2 linked regions of the Cricetulus griseus genome follow. The protein of the gene in region 1 interacts with the protein of each later gene in a pairwise test. Links are inferred from orthologs where the notes say so. Each region holds a gene or a part of one and is shown in the gene's direction. Other genes may lie near its edges.

Region 1 (4,466 bases):
TCAACAGTCTTTGGGCTGTAGTGAGAACTCTGCCCAGAACATTCTTCTTGGTCACCATCCCGTCGTCCCTGACCTCCATCCAGGTTTGGCCGACCTCTAACTCCTGCACTTCTTACCTGTCTTTCCCAGATACATTTTTGTAGTAAGAGTTACCTCTTTCCACTGCACTTCATGGTTTATTGCTTACTCAGTCCAGTGTGTCTTGCCCCAAAAGATGTAGGCCCCACTCCAGGTTTCCCCTAGCACAAGGGACATGAAGAGGCAGCTCTCACCTGAGGGGTGGGCCAGGATGCCCGAGACCAGGGGCCCAGCCCTGGACCCCTCCACCAAGGCGGTCGCTCTCTCAAGTGAGGGTTTTTTTTATTTTTTCCTCCGCGGTGGGGTTGCGGCCCTGGCGCCATGGCAACGGGGGCGGGGCCTCATTTGAATACCCAAATATTCGTGAGCCGCGGGCATCCGGGGCTGCGGCAGGATGAGCCCCGCCCCCTAGCAACGGTTGCCGGGACACGCGGCAGATCCGGTGGCAGGGTTCCCCTGAGTGGCAGGCAAGCGAGACGGATGAGAAGACGCCCACAGAGGTTCGGAGAGTTGCCCGTGAGAGGTTTCTGTCCCGCTCTGGGTTATCTGACTGCTGGCCGCATCGGCCGAGCCTAGCTCTCACCCCGGGATACACGTGAGCGCGCGTCCCCAGGCCTGCATCACCTGAGAAAGCCCTGTCGGTTTTCTAAGGAGGACGTTCTTACTCGTTTCTTTGAAATTTTCAAAAAGTTGCAAACATGTCATTTGCGTCTGACACAGATGTACCCTACTTGCATGAGTGGATGGAACATTTCATTTCGCCCTAATACCAACTTTTCTGACTTCCGGGGTCGTTCTTCAAATGGGGCACAGTATGAGCTGCTGCAGGGTTGGGACCTCGAGTTTTGGGGGAGGTAAGGGAGGGTCTTCTCCAAAGCACAAGGAGCGCGGTGTGATGGGCCGATGCTGCCTCGGGATGGGGCCTTCGCTACACCTCGGCCTCCGAGAACAGGCAGCTTGGGGTTCCGGCGGGTTCTGCCTTCCTCTGGTATCCCGCGTCCGCGGTGCTGACTGTCCCCGACGCCAGGTCCCGGTCGGAATGACCTTTCCGCTCCCAGGGCCTTTGGGCCTCTGGAGCGGCTGCAGAGTGTGGGCTCTGTGGCAGGCCCCGCGACCCAACCCGAGCGTACCCCAGTTTCTCTCCGGAGGAATCTCGGGTTCCCTCATTCTCTTCCGCACCTCGGAACTAGGCGTCACTCATTTGAGTGCAGTACCCAGGTCGCGACAGCGCTCTCTCTGCTACTCCAGGAAGCCCCGCCTAGCTGCGGCTCCTGACGGATGGGTCGCTCAGCCAACCACAACAGGTCGCGGTGAGGCGGAGCTCGACCAATCACCGACTGTCTAGAGTTGACGGACGGGGCGGAGCGGGGCGGGGCGAGCGCGGGCCCGGCCGAGTCCCCGCCGTCCGCGCCCGGCGCCCGCAGCCCGAGCCGCACCCGCCGCGGACGGAGCTCATGCGCGGCCCAGCCAGCGCCGGTCCGCGCCCCCACCCTGCCCCGGCCCCGGCCCCGGGGGCAGTCACTCCAGCAAGCGGTGAGTGCGGGCGTGGGGTGGGGCGCGGGGCGCAGGTGATCGGTGCTTCCCCTCTCCTCTCACCCCGGCAGCGTGCCTAGCGCCCGGCTGCCCGCCTCTGCGGCCCGGCCCGGCCCGCCCCGCCTGTAGCCGCCCTCCCGGCGAGGCGCCGCCCGGGCCTCCGGAGACTCTGCGCCCCGCGGCCATCACGCTCCGGCCTCGGGGCTACAAGGACACCCGCTTCAGGCCCCAATCAGGGCCTTCTGTTCCCCAGTCACCCCTCGCGCCCCTTGTGAGTCTTTCCCGCAGTCACCTGCTTCCCACACCCTCAGCCGCTTTTCCACCCCTGCTTGCTGAAGGCTCCCTGGCCTCTTGTGGAAGGTCTGTCTCAGCGGAGGGCAGGGTCCCTCTCCAGCCACCCTTCCCCCGCTGCCCGGACCGCGCCTGGCATGCAGTAGGCGCTCAGTAAATACTTGTCGGTTGCACCCACATGCCGGCGGGCCGGAGCCGGTTGTAGGCTGGCACTGGCCTGCCTGGGCACGCTGAGTCCGCCGTGGCAGGACCTGTTTTTGGGGGGTGGCCTCAGCCCTCAGGCACCTCCCGTTGAGGCTTTCTGCCTACCTAGCGACTTCTAATTTGGGTGCGTGGTTGGGAGAAGCTCTCAGCTGTCAGCCCTGCCTTGGGGGCCTCTCCCTGCTTCCTCACACAGCCATTAAGTGCTGGTGGAGGAGGTGGGGGGCCTCCCTGTCCCAGCTGGAGGTGCCACAGGTGAGTGACTGGGCCACTGTGGTGGCTGGCCTGCCTGCTCAATGCTGGTTAGGGCCTTTGGGTCAGGCATCTACTAGCAGTCTCAAGTGGCCCGGGCCTGGATAAGTGTGGCTCTCATTGGCAGGTGGGGCAGGAGCTCCTGGAGTGGCAGCCTCTATAGAAGCGATGACAGAATACAAGCTCGTGGTGGTGGGCGCTGGAGGCGTGGGAAAGAGTGCCCTGACCATCCAGCTGATCCAGAACCATTTTGTGGACGAGTATGACCCCACCATAGAGGTGAGCTCTGGCTACCTGGCTCTGGCAGTGGTCATGGAAGAGTCAGGAAGGCCCACATAGCTAGGTCTTGCAGGTGGTATGGGTCTGCTGCCACCTAATCTATCAGAACATGAGAGGTGCAAGGGTGGGTGGGCTCTGTGGATTCTCTGAGGAGAGGTGGAACGCCTAAGCTCTGTTTTTTTTACAGGACTCCTACCGGAAACAGGTGGTCATTGATGGGGAGACATGTCTGCTGGACATCTTAGACACAGCAGGTCAAGAGGAGTATAGTGCCATGAGGGACCAGTACATGCGCACAGGGGAGGGCTTCCTCTGTGTGTTTGCCATCAACAACACCAAGTCCTTTGAAGACATCCATCAGTACAGGTGAGCCACCTATGGCTAGCACAGGTGAGGAAGGTTCCATGTGCACACTGAGGGTTTATGTCTTCTGAGTGTCCTGGGTACAGCCATGCCTGTAACCTGCTAGCTGGCTCACATACTCCCCATCCCCTTCCAGGGAGCAGATCAAGCGGGTGAAAGACTCAGACGATGTGCCAATGGTGCTGGTGGGGAACAAATGTGACCTGGCTGCTCGAACTGTTGAGTCTCGGCAGGCCCAGGACCTTGCCCGCAGCTATGGCATCCCCTACATTGAAACATCAGCCAAGACCCGGCAGGTGAGCTTGCTCCCCACTCCATAGCTAGTCAGGGATTCACCCCACCCCACCCCAGCCAGGGAGCAGAGCTCATCGCCCCTCTCCCTCAACACAGGGCAGCCGCTCTGGCTCTGGCTCCAGCTCCGGGACCCTCTGGGACCCCCCCGGGACCCATGTGACCCAGCGGCCCCCATGCTGTAAGTCTCCCAGACGGCAGGGCTGTGAGGGAGGCAAGGGCCAGGGTCTGGGCTTATGCCCTGCAGTTCTGGGTTGACACAGCGCCAGGGCAGGAGGGGGTCCATGGAGAGAGCTGCCCTGAGCCAGGCCGGAGCGGTGACCCAGGAGCCTAGTCCTTCTTGTCCTCATAGTGTCCTATGAGTACCTGTTAGTTTTGAGCCCTAAGTATGGGCAGGGTGTTCAGACCTGAGCCATACTGGGGGTCTGGGAGAGTTCTGAGTCGAGTTGCTCTGAAGGATATTCCAGAGTGAGCCTACTTAAGGAGAGTGGTCCTGTGCCTTTTAGATGTGCAGAGCCCAGCTCCCTATTTGTGTTGGTTGTGCAGCCGAGGAAGGGTTGTTTTCCAGGGTTGGGGTGTTACCTGATCCAGGCAGGGAGTTTCTTACCCAAACAGCACCCCTTTCCTCCTTGGAGTCCCCTCTGATCCAGTCCCTCTGTTCCCAGGGTGTGGAGGATGCCTTCTACACACTAGTACGTGAGATTCGGCAGCATAAACTACGGAAGCTGAACCCACCCGATGAGAGTGGCCCTGGCTGCATGAGCTGCAAGTGTGTGCTATCCTGACACCAGGTGAGGCAGGGACCAGCAGACATCTGGGGCAGTGGCCCCAGCTAGCCAGATGAACTTCATATCCACTCTGATGTCCCTGCTCCCCCCCATCCTGCCAATCTCCCTGCCTGAGGTCAGTGGTGTCCTTTGTGCCCGTCCCGGCACAGGCTCAGGACGTGGAGGTGCCGGATGCAGGGAGGAGGTGCAGACGGAAGGAAGGAAAGAGAAGGGAAGGAAGGAAGGAAGCGATGCTGGAGCCAGTCCAGTCCAGGGATGGTGGACAGAGGTGACCAAGACCTTCGCATGGACAATTGGAACAGACTGTGTCATGAACTGTCCCTATTGCCACTGGCACCCCAGTCCTCAACCCCTCTCAGTTCCCTTCGGGTGCCTATGGGGCACAGGTTG
Region 2 (3,060 bases), on another chromosome or scaffold:
CACAGCGCCCGGGGGTTGAAAAGGCCGCATAGGTAGACCCTCTCCTCATCCCCAGGCTGGAAGCCCTCGAGTCGCAGCCTCCTGGTGAGCTAGAGAGGACCACAGGGTGAGTGGCCCCTGACCACCTCAGTCAGTCCCCTCTGAGGAAGCTGAGGTTGGACCTCTGACCCTCGGCTGGTTCCCCTTCTCCCAGGGTAGCCATCTCCGTGCTTTCAACCTGGCTGGCCTCTCACCCTGAGGATTTTGGCTCTGAGGTCAAGGGTCAGCTTGACCGGCTTGAGAGCTTCTTGCTTCGGACAGGGTATGCAGCACAGGAGGGTGTTGGGGGGGGCAGTGCTGACCTCATCCGAAACCTCCGGGCCCGGGTAGATCCCCGGGCCCCCAACCTTCCTAAGCCCCTGGCCCTTCCTGGCGATTCCCCTGCTGACCCCACGGATGTCCTGGTGTTCCTCGCTGACCACTTGGCCGAACAGCTGACCCTGCTAGATGCGGTGAGACCTTGACCTTTGACCCTGTGCTCTCTGACCCCTTACTAACCTCTCCTTGGCTCCAGATCCTTTCCTTGCTTCCTGGAGCTCTTCTTCCATCTTCTGCTCTGGCCTTCCTCCCTTCCCTCCTCCCCTTGGCTGTTATCCTCGAGCTGTGTGCCCTGCTGGTCCCTGGTCACTTAAGAGCCTCAGATCCCTGATACTGGGAACCTGCCTGGCTTGACTATAAGTTTTAACCTGTGACCTCTGCCCTGCAGGAGCTGTTTCTCAATCTGATCCCCTCTCAGTGTCTGGGAGGCCTGTGGGGTCACAGAGACCGGCCAGGACATTCTCACCTCTGCCCATCTGTCCGAGCGACTGTCACACAGTTCAACAAGGTGGCAGGGGCAGTAGTCAGCTCCGTGCTGGGGGCCACCTCAATTGGAGAGGGGCCAGGTGAGGTGACCGTGAGGCCACTCCGACCCCCGCAGAGGGCCCGGCTCTTGGAGAAGTGGATCCGTGTGGCGGAGGTAAGAGAGCAGTCCTGCTGGCTGGGACGGTGGCGTGGGGAGGCCCCGCCCTGCTGGCTGGGGACGGTGGTGGTGTGGGGAGGGCCCACAGCCTTGACTCTGGGTTTTCCGTCCTCACAGGAGTGCCGTCTGCTTCGGAACTTCTCCTCAGTCTATGCTGTCGTGTCGGCCCTGCAGTCCAGCCCTGTCCACAGGCTTCGGGCAGCCTGGGGGGAAGCAGCCAGGTGGGAGACCCCAAGTGCCTGAAGCCTGGGTGCAGAAGCTGAGCCAGGCCTGTGCTCAGAGCCCCGCTCTTTCCCCCTAGGGACAGCCTCAGAGTCTTTTCCAGCCTGTGCCAGATTTTCTCAGAGGAGGACAATTATTCTCAGAGCAGAGAGCTCCTCACGCAGGTGAGGCTAGTATTGCCTTCCCCAGCCCTTCCCCAGCCCCCGCCCAGCCCCCTCCTCCTGTCACCTTGTTTGTCACCACCAGGAAGTGAAGCTGCAGCCCCCTGCAGAGCCACACTCCAAGAAAGCCCCAAGGTCTGGCTCCAGGGGTGGGGTGAGTGACCCTGGGACTGGAAGGGGCGCCTCGGCTCGGCTCACCCGGTGAGGTGAATGAAGACAGTTCTGTGTGGAGGGAAGGGAGAGAAAAGCTGTGTCCTGACAGGAGTCTGACCCTGACCCCTCTGCAGGGTGTGGTTCCATACCTAGGGACCTTCCTGAAGGATCTCGTGATGCTGGATGCAGCCTCCAAGGATGAGTTGGAGGTCAGTGGTTGGTGTGTGCGTGCGTGCGTGTGAGAGACAGAGAGGGGGGGGAGGGAAGAAGGGAGGGCAGGGAGGACTCTGTTCTGGAAGGCTTGACAAGTGCACCTAAGGGTCAGACAGACACCCTTCCACAGAGAGGCTACAGGGCAGAAGCAGCAGAGTTTCTGGAGCCAGGTTCTGTTACCCTGGCACATAGTCCAACCTCCCAACCTCTGTACTTCAGGGGTCTGTCTGTGTATGTCCTGTTATCTAATGGGAGGGGTAAATGCATACGCAGGCTATTAAATGTGCAAAGAGTGTGAGGGCCTCCGAGCATGCTCAAGAGCCTGGGTTCCACCCCCAGTACTGCAGACAAAGGAAAATACTGAGGCGTCCAGGAAGTTCTGTGCCTGCCGTGAGCCCAATGTCTCATCTAGAAGTTAGATGCTTTCTCTTAGACAGGAATTTAAAGCCTTGGGTGGAGCTGAGCGTCACCTGGGATCCCAGCACTGTACTCAGGGGGAAGAGGGCAGCCTGGGCTACATAGTGAGTTCTAGGCCAGCCAAGGCTACACACAGTGAGACCTTGTCTCATGACGAGTTTGGGCTGGGATATGAATGGGAGGGAGAGGGTGGACTCCCAGGGTCTGAGTGGCTCCTGCACTGGCTGTGTTTGGGGAGAGCGGGTGCTCTGTGCCCGAGCAGGGTTAGCGCTTTCACCCCTCTCCTTCTGCCCTTGCAGAACGGCTACATTAATTTTGACAAGCGGAGGAAGGTAAGATGACTACGGGGCTCCCTGTCTGTCCCAGGAATGGGGAGAGGGAGGCAAACTCAGGGGTCCCTGAGTTTTGGCTCCTGCAGTTTGAGGGCTCCTTCCCAGGAGTTTGCTGTCCTTTCGGAGCTGCTGCGCCTCCAGAACGAATGTCGTGGCTATGACCTCCGACCTGACCCCGATATCCAACAATGGCTCCAGGGCCTCCAGCCATTAACTGAAGCTCAGAGGTGACTGGCTGGGTGGTTGGGTTCTAGGGCTCAGGTTGGGGGACGTGGGTGTGATGTGTTGGTGGCATGTTGTGACCTCCACCCATGACTATGCTTTCCAGTCACCGTGTGTCCTGTGACGTGGAACCACCTGGTACCAGTGACTCTCCGGCTGCACGGATGCTTCGGCCGACGCTAGTGGTCTCACAGTGGACAGAGTAGGAGCACTGCCGGCTGGGGCTGGTTTCCCGGGGACTTGCCATTGCCCCTGTGTTGTCTAATTTCCTGCCTCTCCAGAGTTCTGGGCTCTGTTGGAGGCCCCACCCCTCTTGTGTCCTGGGATCGGCCCAGTGTTG

The links. The genes of interacting proteins can lie anywhere in the genome.
Region 2: the proteins of Hras (region 1) and Rgl2 interact in binary tests that used the Homo sapiens proteins (3 or more experiments, as listed by UniProt). The link is inferred for Cricetulus griseus from reciprocal best matches to the Homo sapiens genes HRAS and RGL2.

What each region holds. Positions count from the first base shown.
Region 1 is NC_048596.1:59,992,038-59,996,503, forward strand, and holds the start of Hras (GTPase HRas), read left to right. Parts: upstream 1-1,457; 5' UTR 1,458-1,532; coding exon 1,533-1,611; intron 1,612-2,482; coding exon 2,483-2,634; intron 2,635-2,821; coding exon 2,822-3,000; intron 3,001-3,133; coding exon 3,134-3,293; intron 3,294-3,387; coding exon of another isoform or gene 3,388-3,469; intron 3,470-3,953; coding exon 3,954-4,073; 3' UTR 4,074-4,079; exon of another isoform or gene 4,080-4,196; 3' UTR 4,197-4,466. UniProt on the Homo sapiens protein: Involved in the activation of Ras protein signal transduction. Ras proteins bind GDP/GTP and possess intrinsic GTPase activity.
Region 2 is NW_023276806.1:232,079,876-232,082,935, reverse strand, and holds part of Rgl2 (ral guanine nucleotide dissociation stimulator-like 2), read left to right. Parts: intron 1-55; coding exon 56-106; intron 107-193; coding exon 194-491; intron 492-745; coding exon 746-997; intron 998-1,117; coding exon 1,118-1,221; intron 1,222-1,301; coding exon 1,302-1,386; intron 1,387-1,468; coding exon 1,469-1,537; intron 1,538-1,670; coding exon 1,671-1,745; intron 1,746-2,465; coding exon 2,466-2,498; intron 2,499-2,603; coding exon 2,604-2,725; intron 2,726-2,826; coding exon 2,827-2,922; intron 2,923-3,001; coding exon 3,002-3,060. UniProt on the Homo sapiens protein: Probable guanine nucleotide exchange factor. Putative effector of Ras and/or Rap. Associates with the GTP-bound form of Rap 1A and H-Ras in vitro.